Linked DNA regions of Anolis sagrei. The protein of the gene in region 2 binds, or shares a complex with, the protein of the main gene of each other region. Links are inferred from orthologs where the notes say so. Each region holds a gene or a part of one and is shown on either strand. Other genes may lie near its edges. The genes, in order: BRPF3 and KAT6B.

Region 1 (8,082 bases), on a different chromosome or scaffold from region 2:
TAATTTATCTCTCTGGTATCCAATTATACATATAATACAATAAAATTTGCTTTCTATCTATAAAATTTGTGACACTACTCCTTTGACCCTATGAGCTTTCCACTGCTGAATCAAAGACAAACAAGACTATATATTTAATGCATGCAAAACTATAGAAATAGTTATTTTCAATATGTTGATCGGGGAGCTTTGAGTCGCAACTTAATAGGATAAGCTGTGAGTTTGACTAGAATTAAAAATTCAAGCAAGCTGGTTAAAGTAAAGGAAGAGTCCTTTGGACGTGGGAGATCTAAAAGCTAAGGAAGGCAATTATGGAGAGAGGCTGGATAAAAAGGACAGATGTTCAGACAAGTAATTATGGTAAGATGGGGGGGGGGCAACTTGAAGTGCTTAAAGTCAGAAGGAAAAGTGAGAAAGGAGTATCAGGAAAGAGGGTCAAGGGGTGCTGGGACCTGATGAAACGGTGGGTGATGCATTGAAGGAAAGGGCACAAAGAGAAAGTGGGCTTAAGGATGCATCTACATTGCCAAATTGATGGAATCTGATGAATTTTAACTGCCATGACGCAAGGCTTTGGAATAATGCCATTTATAGTATAGTGGGGCACCAGTGCTCTTTGGCTGTGAAGGCTAAAGACCGTGTAAAACTATAGCTCCCAGGACTCCATATCATTAAGCCACCGCAGATAAAGTGGTGTCAAAATGCATTATTTCTACAGTGTAGATCAGGAATGGATAAACTTTGTCCCTCCAGGTGTTTTGGACTTCAACTCCCACAATTCCTAACAGCTTACCAGATTTTAGGAATTGTGGGAGTTGAAGTCCAAAACACCTGGAGGGCTAAAATATTCCCCTGCCTGGTGTAGATGCACCCTGAGAGAGAGAAGGGGAGGGAGGGAAGGAAAGAAGGGAGGGAGGAGGCAAGGGAAGGTACTGAAGGCTATAATATTCAAGACCAGAACAAGAGAAATCTGCTAGCTGACACTACTGCTGTATTTTCAGCACTGAGACCCAGAATTCCTAAGGAGCGACCAGGGCCAAGGCAAGAAACACAGAGAAACACTAATGTGACCAATCTTTGGCTTTTAACATGCATTACTAGTTGACATAAATCCTACAGAGGAAGAACTGTTTAAAGCTACAGACAATGCGGTCGCTGTTGCCTGTCTGTGGTCAAAAAATATTTAGCCGCCTGGGCTCCTTCTATTTTTATCAGTTTTATACTTATTTATGCAATGCTTTTGATACGATATAAATAAATCCTGCAATCTGAGGAACAGAAACCAAGATGGAGAAAAATGACTGAGCCACAGAGAAAGATATTAGAAGGAATAGATGCACTCTTTTCTGTGAGGGGTGAAATGTTTTCTTCCTTTTCTGACGGGAGGCAGAAATGAAAGCAGTGGAAAAATGCAATTAATTTTCTTGCTTAAGAATGAGCACAACCTGTTCTAAGGAGAACCTGGTCTTGGTTAGTGAATGTTACCATGTGGCAGGAAAATAAACTTGTTGCCATTGAGTATGAAATGTGTCAACACTTCACAATTTACTCGCTCCTATTCCACACAGCCACAACATTAAGAAAAAAACTCACCAAAATGTGCTTAGCTTAGTTGTCTCTCTATTCAAGGCCCAGTTAAAGTTGTAGAAAACTGCATTAACTCTACAATGTGGATGCATCGCGTGTCAGACCACAATCTTTTTTCCAGGTCAAGTTAAATCGCTGATATGAACAGGAACTTATGTAGCATTTTAGGTACAAAAGATTTCTAATGTTTTGAACTTTTAGGGTTTGTATGAAAGGTAAAGTGGGATATAAATACAAATAATAATAAGTATGGATTGTCAATGTTGCAATCCCAGGTGACAGCAGAATTGAAGAGAAACAACTGGAAAAGCTGACACGGTACAAGGATTTAAAGATCTAACTGCAAAGACTCTGCCACAAGCCAGTCAAGGTAGTCCCAGTGATTGGCACACTGGGTGCAGTGCCTAAAGACCTTGGCCTGCACTTCAACACAATTGGCGCTGACAAAATTACCATCTGCCAGAGGCAAATGGCAACCTTACTGGGATCTGCATGCATTATTCGCCGATACATCACACAGTCCTAGACACTTGGGAAGTGTCCAACGTGTGATCGAATACAACAACCAGCAGAGTGATCTTGTCTGTTGTGGACTCATCTTGTTGTGTTTCAAATAATAATAATAATAATAATAATAATAATAATAATAAACCCCTGTGCCAGCAGAACTGAAGACCGACAGGTCGAAGGTTCAAATCCGTGAAGAGCACGGATGAGCTCCCTCTATCAGCTCCAGCTCCTCATGCAGGGACATGAGAGAAGCCTCCCACAAGGATGTTAAAACATCACAACATCCGAGCATCCCCTGGGCAACGTCCTTCCAGACAGCCAATTCTCTCACACCAGAAGAGACTTGCAGTTTCTCAAGTCACTCCTAACACGACCAAAATAATAATAATAATAATAATAATAATAATAATAATAATGTGTATTTTGCCTCAACTTCCTGGTGACTCTGGTACTATATGGGCCAGAACAGGCATGGGCAAGCTTGTGCTACTAGGTGTTTTGGATTTCAACTCCCACAATTCCTAACAGCCTCAGGGGAAATAGAATGGACCTGAGACTGTTGGGAATTGTGGGAGTTGAAATCCAAAACACCTGAAGGGCCCGAGCTTGCCCATGACTAGTCTACACTGTTCAATAGTGGAACTCACTGCCTCAGTGTGTGACCAGAAGCTATGCCAATTGTGTACAAATGAGCTGCCTTTTGGGAAAGGTACAGAGTGCATTGAATTGCCTCAGGATTTAAGCATTAGCACGGCAGCTGTGGCCACTCAAGAGTCCCCAGGAGGTTCACAGTGAGGGAAAAAATAAACCAGGCCTCTGCACAGAAACTGGAGGATATATCAGGATGCAGGCCTTGATCACGTGACCCAGAGGCCTCAAGGAGCCCACAGTGCCAACATCGACCAGCGGGAAAGGGGGGGGGGGAATATCCCTCGACAGGTAAGAGAAACAGCGGCAGCCGCGCTCTCATTGGACACCGGCGCTGCCCATCACCCATAGCAGCGCCCAGCTCGCGGGCGGGAGCTACGCCGTCCAATAGGGAAGGGGAAGGTGGGCGTGGCTAAGGCTTCCCGGTGGTGAGGGAAAACAAGATGGCGGGGCTCGCTCTCCCCTGTCCCCCCCGCGCTCCCCGTTTAGGTTGTCTTCCTCCTTCACCTCAGGAGGCGGCGCTTTGGAAAGTGAGCCTTGCCAAGTGTTTCGGAAGCGGGCCGAGCCTGTGTCGGTCCCGCCAAGCCCTTCACGATAAGTCACCTTCCCACGACCCTGAGGGTATTATCAGAGAGAGAGAGAAGGGGGAGAGGGAGAGAGAGTCACGGATAAAGCGGGCGCTTACTTGCCTTCCTGGGCCGCTGCCTCGCCGTCTGCCGTTGGCGCCGTCGCTGAGGGAGGGAGGAAGGGAGGGGGCACAAAATGTCGGCTCAGCGCCGCCCCCTCGTCGCCCGCAGCTCTTCAGCCGCTCTCTTCCGCGGCTCCTGTTGCAGGGCAGGAAAGGGGGAAGGCGGCAAGATGGAGGCGGCCGTGGGAGCAGCAGCAGCAGGAGCGCCAAGCCCGGCCAAGCGATGGAGGGAGAGAGCGAAGGAGGGGGAGAAGGAGGCGGCGAGGGAGGGGGCTGCTCCTGCTACTGCCGCCGCGCCGCTCCCTTTCGCTCCCCCCCCCCCGGACAGGGACCGCCCCCCCTTGCGTTTCCTCCCTGGACACGAGTCTTGGAGGCCCCGGGGGCGAGGGCGAGGGGAGGCCGAGGTAGGCGACGCAGGGCTGGAGGCGCCTCCCAGGTGCTCCTCTCTTGCCCCGGGAAGCCCTGGGACTGACTGAGTGGCTGCCTTCCTTGAGGGGCACTGGGAGGGAGGGAGGCAGGGAGGGTTGACCTCAGTGCTGGCCCGATGAGGGAGGGAGAGCCGATTCCCCAGAGGACAGGATCAGCCTACAGCGCTGCACCCAACTCCACAAAATGGACTTCAGCAGGGAGAAGTGTATCATCCACACCAGGCATGGGCAAACTTCGGCCCTCATAGAGTTGGAAGAGACCTTGTGGGCCATCCAGTCCAGCCCCCTGCCAAGAAGCAGGAAAATCGCATTCAAAGCACCCCCAACAGATGGCCATCCAGCCTCTGCTTAAAAGCCTCCTAAGAAGGAGCCTTTGTTGCACTCCTGCTGAACAGCTCTCACAGTTAGGAAGTTCATCCTACTGTTCAGGTGTTCCATTGTTAAACAGTGTAGAGCAGGGGTCCTCAAACTAAGGCCCGGGGGCCGGATGCGGCCCCTCAAGGTCATTTACCCAGCCCTCGCTCAGGGTCAACCAAAGTCTGAAATGACTTGAAAGCACACAACAATAACAACAGTCCTATCTCATCAGCCAAAAGTAGGCCCACACTTCCCATTGAAATACTAATAATTTTATATTTGTTGAAATTTTCATTTTAATTATTGTATTGTTTTAAGTGTTTTTTGCACTACAAATAAGATATGTGCAGTGGACATAGGAATTCATTCATATTTTTTTTCAAATTATAATCTGGCCCTTAAACAGTTTGAGGGACTGTGGCCTGGCCCTCTGTTTAAAAAGTTTGTGGACCCCTGGTTTAAACAGAGGGCCAGATCACAGTCCCTCAAACTGTTGGAGGGCCGGATTATAATTTGAAAAAAACATGAATGAATTCCTATGTCCACTGCACATATCTTATTTGTAGTGCAGAAAACACTTTAAAACAACACAATAATTAAAATGAAGGACAATTTTAACAAATATCAACTTATTACTATTTCAATTAGAAGTGTAGGCTCGCTTTTGGCTGATGAGATAGGATTGTTGTTGTGTGCTTTCAAGTCATTTTAGACTTAGGTTGACCCTGAGCAAGGGCCGGGTAAATGACCTTGGAGGGCCTTATCTGGCCCCCAGGTCTTAGTTTGAGGACCCCTGGTGTAGAGGCTGGGGTGGAAAAGGAAAGGGCCTAAGGCTGTTAGGGATTGTGGGAATTGAAGTCCAAAACACCTGGAGGGATGAAGTTTGCCGATGCCAATAAAATAATAATAATAATAGCTTTATTTTTGTACCTCTCCATCTCCCTGAAGGGATTCAGGCCGGCTTACATATGGCACAAAGTGCCTAAAAACAACGCATAAAATATACACACAGTACAATACAAAACAACAGTACAATACAACCTTGCAGACTGAAAGGTTGGCTGTTCGAATCCAGGGAAGTGGGGTGAGCTCCCATTGTTAGTCCCAGCTTCTACCAACTTAGCAGTTTGAAAACATGTAAATGTGAGTAGATCAATAGGCACCGCTTTGACGGGAAAGTAACGGCCCACCATGTAGGCCACATGAACTTGGAGATGTCTACGGACAATGCCAGCTCTTCAACTTGAAAATGAGCACCACCCCCCAGATTTGGAAACAAAACCTTTACTTTTTACAATAGAAAAAGTAAAACCAATAGCACATAAAAACAGTAATTTAAAACTCAGAACAACGCCCAATAACCTGTGGTGACAACAGCTGTAAGACATGGCCAAACTGTAAACAAGACAAGGGAATGAAATAGTGCAAACTGTAAGGAACCAATGCATGGGATGAAAGTGCAGTGCTGTGTCATTAATTGCGGACCATTGGGCTAGAAATTCTCAAAAGCTTGTTTAAACATCCAAGTCTTCAAATCCCTACTGAAAGAGGACAATGTGGGGGCCTGCCTAATCTCCCTGAGGAAGGGTGTTCCAAAGCCGTGGGACCACCACTGAAAAGGCCCTCTCCCTCGTTCCCACCAACCGTGCTTGGGATGGTGGCAGGATTGCGAGGCGGGCCTCCCCAGCAGATCTTGATTCTAGCGCAGGTACATAGGGGGTATGCGGTCACAAAGATAAGCAGGGCTTTATAGGTAATAACCTGTAGTTTGAATTTACATCAAAACTTAACAGTAGCCAATGGAGCTGTTTTAATAGGGACATTGTGTGTTCCCTATCCTAGGCCACACTGCAACAGTGGAACTCACTGTCTCGATGTGTGGTAGAGGTTTTTAAACAAGTGGGATGGCCATCTGTTGGAGATGCTTTGACTGCTTTTTCTGCATGGCAAGGGGTTGGACTGGATGTCCCATGTGGTCTCCAATATTATGATTCTGCACTTGGGTGAGAAAAATGGAAACGTGTACCTCAATGTCACAAATAATAATAACTGTATTTATATTCCTCCCTACCTCCCCAAGGGGTCTCAGAGCAGATTCCAACAAACAAAAAGACAAGCATTCATCGCTTTGATAAAACAAACGTTAACGAGTAATCCAAAATAACCCCACATATGAAAATAACATCAAAACCTAACATCAATAAATTAAACAAAACGTATGCAAACAAATTTATATGACATAAAACCTAAACAGTAAAACATCTGCATTGATTTACAAAAAGCCAACCAAAGTTTGTCAAGTTTGTTATCCACCAAAATGGGAGGGATAATGAATATCCCAGAGGATAGGATCAGACTCCCAACAGATTAGAGCGCTGGACCCAAATTTCACAAAGTGATCCTCAACCGGGGGAAATGGATACACTTAAGTGAAAATTGAAAGGTGAGTATAGCGTACCTCAATGATGCCAAATTGAAAGGGTTAGGTAATACCCCAGGATCAGAATCCCAAACAATCCTAACAGATTAGAGCGCTGAGCCCAAATTTTACAAAGCAAACATCAACCGGAGGAAATGGATGTTGTTGTTTATTCATTTACTCGCTTCCAACTCTTTGTGACCTCATGGACCAGCCCACGCCAGAGTTCCCTGTCGGCTGTCACCACCCCCAGCTCCTTCAGAATCAAGCCAGTCACTTCAAGGATACCATCCCTCCATCTTGAACTTCAACAGGAAGGCAGTTTATAGCCCTATATGTGTAACAGTTGTGGAATAAATAGTATGCTATAAATTGCAACTGACATGAGTTGTGTCTTCAAAATACTGTTGCACTGTTATTTTCAGGAAGCAACCTATTTCTGGTTTGATACTATAGTATTTAAAGGGCTAGGCATCCACTTAAATAACCTGAAGATACTAGATCCCATCTAGTCCTGGAACCTGGGTGGTATTTTGTTGAGAAACAGCCAATGAATACTGTGTGCAGTACGCAGTATTTTAGAGGAAGGAAATGCCTAAACCACCTCTTGAGTATTCCTTGCCTACACAACCCTACGAAATGCATGGAGTTGCCACAAATTGAGAGGTGACTTGAAGGCATATTGACACACTCACACAGGGCTAAGCAAAGGACTAGAGTAGCTGTTTTTCAGACAGAGCTGGGCTTGTCCCTCATGCACTGACTTCTGTTAAATATAATGTAACTGAAATTTCTGTGAACCTTCAGATAACCTAATTCCAAGGGATTTCATTCCATTCAAGAAAAAAGATGGTTTCTCAGTGTTACCAGCTTAAGAGGATGTTCTTTATTTCAGAGGAGATAGAAAATCTAATAATACTACTTATTACATGAGAAGCACATGGAAAGGTTAGAACTTCATCCTTTTTTATATACAGTAATATGATCAGTGGCACTTCCTTGCTATACGTGAGCACAACCAGGTAAAGATATGGGTGTTCTTTCTTCATTATATGAATCTCCAGTGCCTGTATACTGAAGGACAATAGACATGCTGATTTGTTGATATTTTTCTGAAATACAGGTGGATCGATTATTTCCCAATTGTCCAATTTTGGCAAAGGTACTTCAGTTCGTAAACTGTACAGCTTGAACTTTTTATTTAAAACCTCCCAAAAACAAATCTTGGATTTTGCCAGTTTATATAAGAAACGCCAATTTACTATGGTATTGTATATATTGGGACATGAGCATCCACAGATTGGGGCAGGTGTGCTCTGAAACCAAACCTTAGCATTTACTAAGGGCTTGCTGTACTTAGAAATAGTTTATTTTACCATTATTTTTAGCAGCCACAAAGCTGTAGTTAAAAATGTTTCTATGAAAGTTTTGAAAAGGATAAATTA
Region 2 (8,082 bases):
GGTTCTGGCTATCTATCAAACCCAGAGCCCAATGCAAGCTACTAATATTGGTGTTATTAACATTTTGACAGCCTGAACTTGGCTACCTAAATGACAACCTTTCCCTAAAATAAAATAAAAAGTGATCCGCAATCACTTTAGAAATGGAGAGTACGCCCCTGTTGGGTTTGTGTGCCGCCCAGAGGTCAGAGTGGCATCAACACTTAGCAGATTTCTTTGCCACATGGCAACAATACTTTCTATGAGGCATTTCTGCCTGACTCTCTCTATTTAAAGGGTTCAAATTCCACCTGAACATTAGGAAGAACTCCTTGACCGTGAAAGCTGTTCAATAGTGGAACTCTCTGCATTGGAGTGTGATGAAGGCTCCTTCCTTGGAGGCTTTTAAACAGAGGCTGATGGCCATCTGTCGGGAGCCCTTTGATTGCAATTTTCCTGCATGGTAGGGGGTTGGATTGGATGGCATTGCGAGGTCTCTTGCAGTTATGACTGTATGAAAGGATGGTTGCAAGGGTAAAAAGGAAAAGGGTGAAAACCACAGAATTATCCTGAGCTTTCTGAAAGAGAACAGGATAAAGCAGGGATAGGAATGGTGCAGACAACCACATGTGGTTGATATGCATCTCCTAGAAACCCAAGCAAAACAAAAAAAACAAACCAAAAAAACCCCACAAAACTTTGGCAGGAAACAGAGACTCATTAGCCCTTTTCATGAAATGAAAACTGGAAAGCTTAGAAACTAAGTATATCCACACCTTCTTACTCTAGTTCAGACATGAGCATACTTCGGTTCTCCAGGTATTTTGGACTTCCAACTCTCACAATTCCTGACAGCCTACCAGCTGCTAGGAAATGTGCAAGCTGAAGTCCAAAACAATTGGAGAACCAAAGTTTACCCAGGACTGCTTTAGTTCCCCACTATATTCATTTCAAACCAAAAACTCTTTGGGAGGTGGTCTCAATGCCACCATTTATAGACTGCCCAACTATGAAGTACCAGACATACAAAAAGGAAGTTCTATGCACTGAATCACAGTGCAGCCCACCAGTTGTTTGGGCCTCCAACTCTCAGGACTCTTAGCTAGCTTGTTCAATGGTCAGGAATTCTGGAAGTTGGAGGCCCAAACAACTGGTGGGCCACAGGCTGAAGGTACTCTACCTGACTGAGGCCACATCCATACAGCTGTATAAAATCCACGTTGAACTGGATAATATGGCAGTTTGGACTCAGGGTCCTTCCAACACAGCCATATAACCCAGAATATTAAGGCAGGTAATCCACAATATCTGCTTTGAACTGAGTTATCTGAGCCCCCTTTGACACAGCTGAATAAAATCCTACATTTTCTGCTTTGAACTAGAATATATGGCAGTGTGGACTCAGATAACCTAGTTCAAAGCAGATCCTGTGGGGTTTTCTGTCTGAATATTCTGGCTATGTAGAAGGGTCCTGAGGGGCTGTTGAGAAAGACAAACTAAAGGCCCTTCCACACAGCCATATAACCCAGAATATTAAGGCAGATACTCCAGAATATCTGCTTTGAACTGGGTTATCCGAGGCTCCTTCCACACAGCTGAATAAAATCCCACATTATCTGCTTTGAACTGGAATATATGGCAGGTTGGACTCTGATGAGCCTATTCAAAGCAGATATTGTAGGATTTTCTGCTTTAATATTCTGGGTTATATAGCTGTATGGAAGGGTCCTGAGGGGCTCTTGAGAAAAACAACCTGAGAGCCCTTCCACACAGCCATATAACCTAGAAACAAAGCAGAAAAATCCAGAATATCTGCTTTGAACTGGGATATATGGCAGTGTGCAATAGGCTCTGATGACCCTATTCAAAGCAGATATTGTGGGATTTTCTGCTTTGATATTCTGGGTTACATGGCTGTGAGGAAGGGTCCTGAGGGACTCTTGAGAAAAACAAAGTGAGGACCCTTCCAAACAGCCATATGACCCAGAATATCATGGCAGATGATCCAGAATATCTGCTTTGAACTGGGATATCTAAGGGCCCTGCCACACAGCCCTATATCCCAGAATATCAAGTCAGAAAATCCCACATTATCTCTGTGTGGACTCAGATAACCCAGTTTAAAGCAGATATTGTGGGATCTTCTGCCTTGATATTCTGGGTTATATGCCTGTGTGGAAGCACCCTCAGATTGTTTTTCTCAGGAACTCCTCAGGACCCTTCCCCACAGCCCTATAACCCAGAATATAAAAACAGAAAATCCCACAATACCTCTGTGTGGACTCATACAACCCAGTTCAAATCAGATATTGTGGGATTTTCTGCCTTGATATTCTGGGAAATAGGGCTGCCCTGAGCCCATACTGCCATATAACCCAGTTCAAAGCAGATATTATGGGGTTTTCTGCCATGATATTCTGGGATATAGGGTTGCCCTAAGCCAATACTGCCATATAACCCAGTTCAAAGCAGATATTGTGGGGTTTTCTGCCTTGATATTCTGGGATGTAGGGCTGCCCTGAGCCCATACTGCCATATAACCCAGTTCAATGCAGATCTTGTGGGATTTTCTGCCTTGATATTCTGGGATACAGGGCTGCCCTGAGCCCATACTGCCATATAACCCAGTTCAATGCAGATATTGTGGGATTTTCTGCCTTGATATTCTGGGATACAGGGCTGCCCTGAGCCCATACTGCCATATAACCCAGTTCAAAGCAGATATTGTGGGATTTACTGCCTTGATATTCTGGGTTATATGCCTGTGTGGAAGCGTACTCAGATTGTTTTCCTCAGGAGCCCCTCGGGACCCTTCCCCACAGCCCTATAACCCAGAATATCAAAGCAGAAAATCCCACAATATCTCTGTGTGTTCTCAGCTAACCCAGTTCAAAGCAGATATTGTGGGGTTTTCTGCCTTGATATTCTGGGATGTAGGGCTGCCCTGAGCCCATACTGCCATATAACCCTGTTCAAAACAGATATAGTGGTATTTTCTGCCTTGATATTATGGGATGTAGGGCTGCCCTGAGCCCATACTGCCATATAACCCAGTTTCAAAGCAGATATTGTGGGATTTTCTGCCTTGATATTATGGGATGTAGGGCTGCCCTGAGCCCATACTGCCATATAACCCAGTTTCAAAGCAGATATTGTGGGGTTTTCTGCCTTGATACTCTGGGATATAGGGCTGCCCTGAGCCCATACTGCCATATAACCCAGTTCAAAGCAGATAATGTGGGATTTTATACAGCTGTGTGGAAGGGTCCTGAGCTCTCCTCCCCAAGCCTCTCAGAGGCCACGTTCAAAGGCACGCGCCCAACCAACGCTTCCTTCAGCTCTGCATAGCAGGCCTCTTATTTACCCATCCAATAACTCCAAGCCCATCCAGTTGCCCTCACAGGGTTGATTTGCATAGCTGGCCCCGCCCCACGCCCCCCCTCTCTCCTCGCGCGCGCCACCTGCAACGAGGGCGCGAGGCCCCTGCTTGCCTCGCCTCGTCCGCCGGGGGGCGCTCGCGACCCACCCTCCGCCGGGGGGAGGAGCCAAGGCAAGCCCCAGCTGCGCCCCCTGCCGGCCTCCCCGCCGCCGCCCAAGTTCCCTCCTCCTCGGGCAGCGCCCGCGCCGCCACCGCTTCTCACCTCGCCGCCCTTCGCCTTTCAAGCCGCCTTCGCTGCCGCCATTTTGTCTCGCCCTCTCGCAGTCACCGCGCATCCGACATGACACCCGATGACAGCCCGATGTAGGCTCATTACAGCCTCTGCCCCCCCTCCCTCGCTTGCCCTCCCCTTGGTGGACGCCCCGCCTCTTCGTTCAAACCGCCGCGCTCATTGGCGGCAGCGCCCTGCCTCTCGTCATTCCTCTCCACCAACCCATTTAGACCTAGCACGCCATTGGACGGTGAGTGCTGTCAATCAATCCTATAGTCGGGGGAGGGAAAAAAATGCACTGTCGCTGTCCACGATCCTAGTTGGCTGGCAATTACACATAAAAAGGGGGAGGGACGAAGATTGAGAGAGAGAGAAAAGGGAGGCACGCTTTGGCTTGTTTAATAGGCTAGTGAAGCTATCAATCAAGCTCAAGCAGCCTCCCTTTTTTTTGCCTTTGCTTCGGTTTCATCCTGAAGTTTGTAATCTGTGGGAATAGAGCGGGGGGCGCTTTCGGCGTGCGGGAGGGCACGCGACACATACTAATCAGCGGCGCGCGGGAGTACTGTATTATTATTGTTATTATTATTGAGTTTCACGCCACGCGGGCGGGCGGAATTGAAAGGGGAAACAAAACAAGCTCCAAATCAGAAGGAAGGGAAAGATTGAGAGAGAGAGGGAGGAAGAAGGGTGCACGCGCTGCCTGCCCAGGCACGCGGGGCCCGCCGAACCCGCCCATTTCCTGCAGGAAACAATCGCAGTCTATAAGGAGGGAGGGAGGAGGGAAAGGCACGGATCCTCTGTAAACACGTGCCTTGGCGGGAGGGAGACAGAGAGAGAGAAAGGAGAGATGCTCCTTAGGAATGTGGCTCCGAGGAGAAGGCAAAGAGAAGAACCCCACCAACAACAACAACCCTTTCCCCCCAAACTATCGATTTCCCTGCTCCACAACAATCCCAAAACACACCCCACACAAAAACCCCCAGAGATTGGGAAGCAGAAGCACTCCAACGGGAGGAATCCTCCCCATCCTCATCCTCCTTTCCCTCCCCCTTCCAAAGAATCCAATCTTTTGCAAACCAATCCATCCATCCATCAATTCCCCCCCATCCGACCTTTCTTGGTGGCTGCAGATTTGTCTCCCGGACCCGGTGGTGGTGGTGGGCTCTAAAAGCAGGGACTTGATCACGGCTAATTGAAAGGTTAATCTACATAAGGCTCTGACAGAAGAGGTCCCTCCCCGTTTTCTGGGTTGTTGCGGGGTTTTTTTTTTCTTTCTCTCTCTTTTTTTTAATCTGCTCCTGGCAAGTGGGAAACGGAGCTCCTCGGGAGGGAGGGGGAGGAGGAGGAGGAGGGGAAAGGGAAGGGGAGGAAGGAAGGGGGAGGCTGGCTAGATGGCTGGCTGGCTGGCTGGACGGAGGCAGGGAGGGAGGAGGGAAGGAGGGGCGCCATCCCAAGGCAAGGGGCCCCTTCGCCAAGGAGGCATCCGCAGGGCTGGGAGCGCCTTTTGTCCTCAGAGCTGGAAGAAGGGGCTGCCTACCCCCCCAACCTGGTACCAACTTGGGGACCCCCCCCCCTTTCCTCGCTTCTCCACGCTCCCCATGCCTGCCTTCTCTCTACAAAGGTGGCCCTCCTTCAGGTACAAGACTCAGTCACACAACAACCTCTTCTCTGCTAGGCTTGAGCAGCTGCCAAGTTTGTGGGTGCCACACAGAATTCCTCCTTGATACCCATCCATCATATACACATGCATACACATATATGCATACTCACATGTATACACATATGTACATGGACATATATGCATACATACATAGATAGGCATATTTTGTTGTTGTTGTTCATTTGTTTAGTCATCTCCGACTCTTCGGGACCTCATGGGCCAGCCTACGCCAGAGCTCCCTGTCAGCTGTCACCACCCCCAGCTCCTTCAAGGTCAGTCCGGTCACTTCAAGGATGCCATCCATCCATCTTGCCCTTGGTCAGCCCCTCTTCCTTTTTTTCTTCCACTTTCCCCATCATCATTGTCTTCTCTAGGCTTTGCTGTCTCCTCATGATGTGGCCAAAGTATTTCAACTTTGTCTCCAGTATCCTTCCCTCCAATGTCTCCAGTATCCTTCCCTCTGGGCTTTATTTCCTGGAGGATGGACTGGTTGGATCTTCTCGCAGTCCACGGCACTCTCAGCACTTTCCTCCAACACCACAGTTCAAAAGCATCGATCTTCCTTCACTCAGCCTTCCCTAAGGTCCAGCTCTCACATCCGTAGGTTACTACAGGGAATACCATGGCTTTGACTATGCAGATCTTTGTTTACAAATAGAAATATACATATATACATACACAGTAAATGCACAACTCCAGAGGTTAGCCAGAAGAGATAAGGACCTTGAAGGAGCTGGGGGTGGTGACGGCTGACAGGTTGCTCTGGCATGGGCTGGCTCATGAAGTCATGAAGAGTCAGAAGTGACTGAATGAATGAACAACAAATACATATATATATATATATATATATATACATACAAATATAAACGCACACCCACATATATACATACAAATACAAACCTGCACATACATACATATGCACATGTACATGCACATATATGCATATATGTATATATATATATATATATACACATACACATATGCATATATATACGAATATAAACATTCACTTATACATACATATATACAGTATACAAATATACACATACCCACATATACAAATATAAAGATACACATATGCATGCACATCTTTACATATAAATGTAAACATACACATATGGATGCACATATAAATATGCACACACACACATATATATGCACATATACATACAAATATAAACACACACATATACATACATCTGCTAGGCTTGAGCAGCTGCCAAGTTTGTGGGTGCCACACAGAATTCCTCCTTGATACCCATTCATCATATACACATGCATATATATATATGCATACGCCATGAGTCGCCCTAATGGGCTGAGAATGGCGGTTAATAAATGCATCAAATAAATAAAAATAAATAAATACCCACATATATATACAGATAAGTACATGCACATATATGCATACATACATATGCATATACACACAAATATAAACATACATATACATCCGCATAGAAATATATCCCCATATATATACAAATATAAATATACATATATACATACACTGTAAATGCACAATGCCAGAGGTTAGCCAGAAAAGATAAGGAGCCGACAGGAAGCTCTGGCATGGGCTGGTTCATGAGGTCATGAAGAGTCGGAAGTGACTGAACGAATGAACAACAAAAACATACATACATATATATGCATACAAATACAAACCTACACATATATTCATATGCACAAGTACATGCACATATATACATATATATACATACATATATGCATATACATACAAATATAAACATTCACTTGTACATACATATATACAGTACACACAAATATAAACATACACATACCTACATATACAAATATAAACATACACATATGCATGCACATCTGTACATATAAATGTAAACATACACATATGCATGCACATATAAATATACAAACACACACATATATATATGCACATATACATACAAATATAAACACACACATATATACATACAAATATAAACACATATATACAAATATAAACATATATACATATACACAAATATACACATGCAAATATAAACACACACCCAATATATATACATATACAAATACAACATACACATATATACATACACATATATACACATGCACATACACATGTACATTCACATATATGCATACATATATATACAAGCACATATATGCATATACATACAAATATAAACACATGCATGCATATACACACACATATATAAATATAATCATACATATACACATATACATACACACCTATATACATAAAGTATGCACACATATATACATAGACATACACATACACATATACATACAATATAAACATACACACACACACATATATGTGTGTGTGTGTGTGTACAATGATACCTTGAGTTAAGAGTTTAAATTGTTTATGACTGGACTCTTAACTCAAAATGCTGTTATCTCAAAGCTAATTTTCCATTGAACTGCTATTAATCCATTCCATGCCCCTTGTTGTGGTTCAGCCTGTGATTGTGACAGCATCTGAGGTCTCACAGAAGCCTGGTTCTTTACCTGATGTGGCTGAGGATTCTGGGAATTATAGGTCAATTGCTTTGTTTTTAAAGAAATAAACTTTATATCGACCCTTTGATCTTTTACCTTCAGTAAACTGCTTTGCTTATAAATTGAGTTCTGGAGTGGTGAGACTGGTTTAAAGGTGCCCTTCCAGCCCTGGTGTGCGACCCCCCCCCCCCCATTTTTGTTACATGCTTTTAAAATAAAGATGTAATTGTCAGTAACAAGTAATGTATAAATGCACATTTATTTGAAACTGTTTAAAAGAACAATCAA

What was found.
Region 1: KAT6B (region 2) and BRPF3 share a complex: the UniProt entries of both Homo sapiens proteins name them as parts of the MOZ/MORF complex. The link is inferred for Anolis sagrei from reciprocal best matches to the Homo sapiens genes KAT6B and BRPF3.

Annotation. Positions count from the first base shown.
Region 1 is NC_090024.1:186,394,431-186,402,512, reverse strand, and holds the start of BRPF3 (bromodomain and PHD finger-containing protein 3), read right to left. Parts: upstream 4,025-8,082; 5' UTR 3,431-4,024; intron 1-3,430. UniProt on the Homo sapiens protein: Scaffold subunit of various histone acetyltransferase (HAT) complexes, such as the MOZ/MORF and HBO1 complexes, which have a histone H3 acetyltransferase activity.
Region 2 is NC_090023.1:148,790,964-148,799,045, reverse strand, and holds the start of KAT6B (histone acetyltransferase KAT6B), read right to left. Parts: upstream 4,953-8,082; 5' UTR 4,742-4,952; intron 3,708-4,741; exon of another isoform or gene 3,621-3,707; intron 1-3,620. UniProt on the Homo sapiens protein: Histone acetyltransferase which may be involved in both positive and negative regulation of transcription. Required for RUNX2-dependent transcriptional activation. May be involved in cerebral cortex development.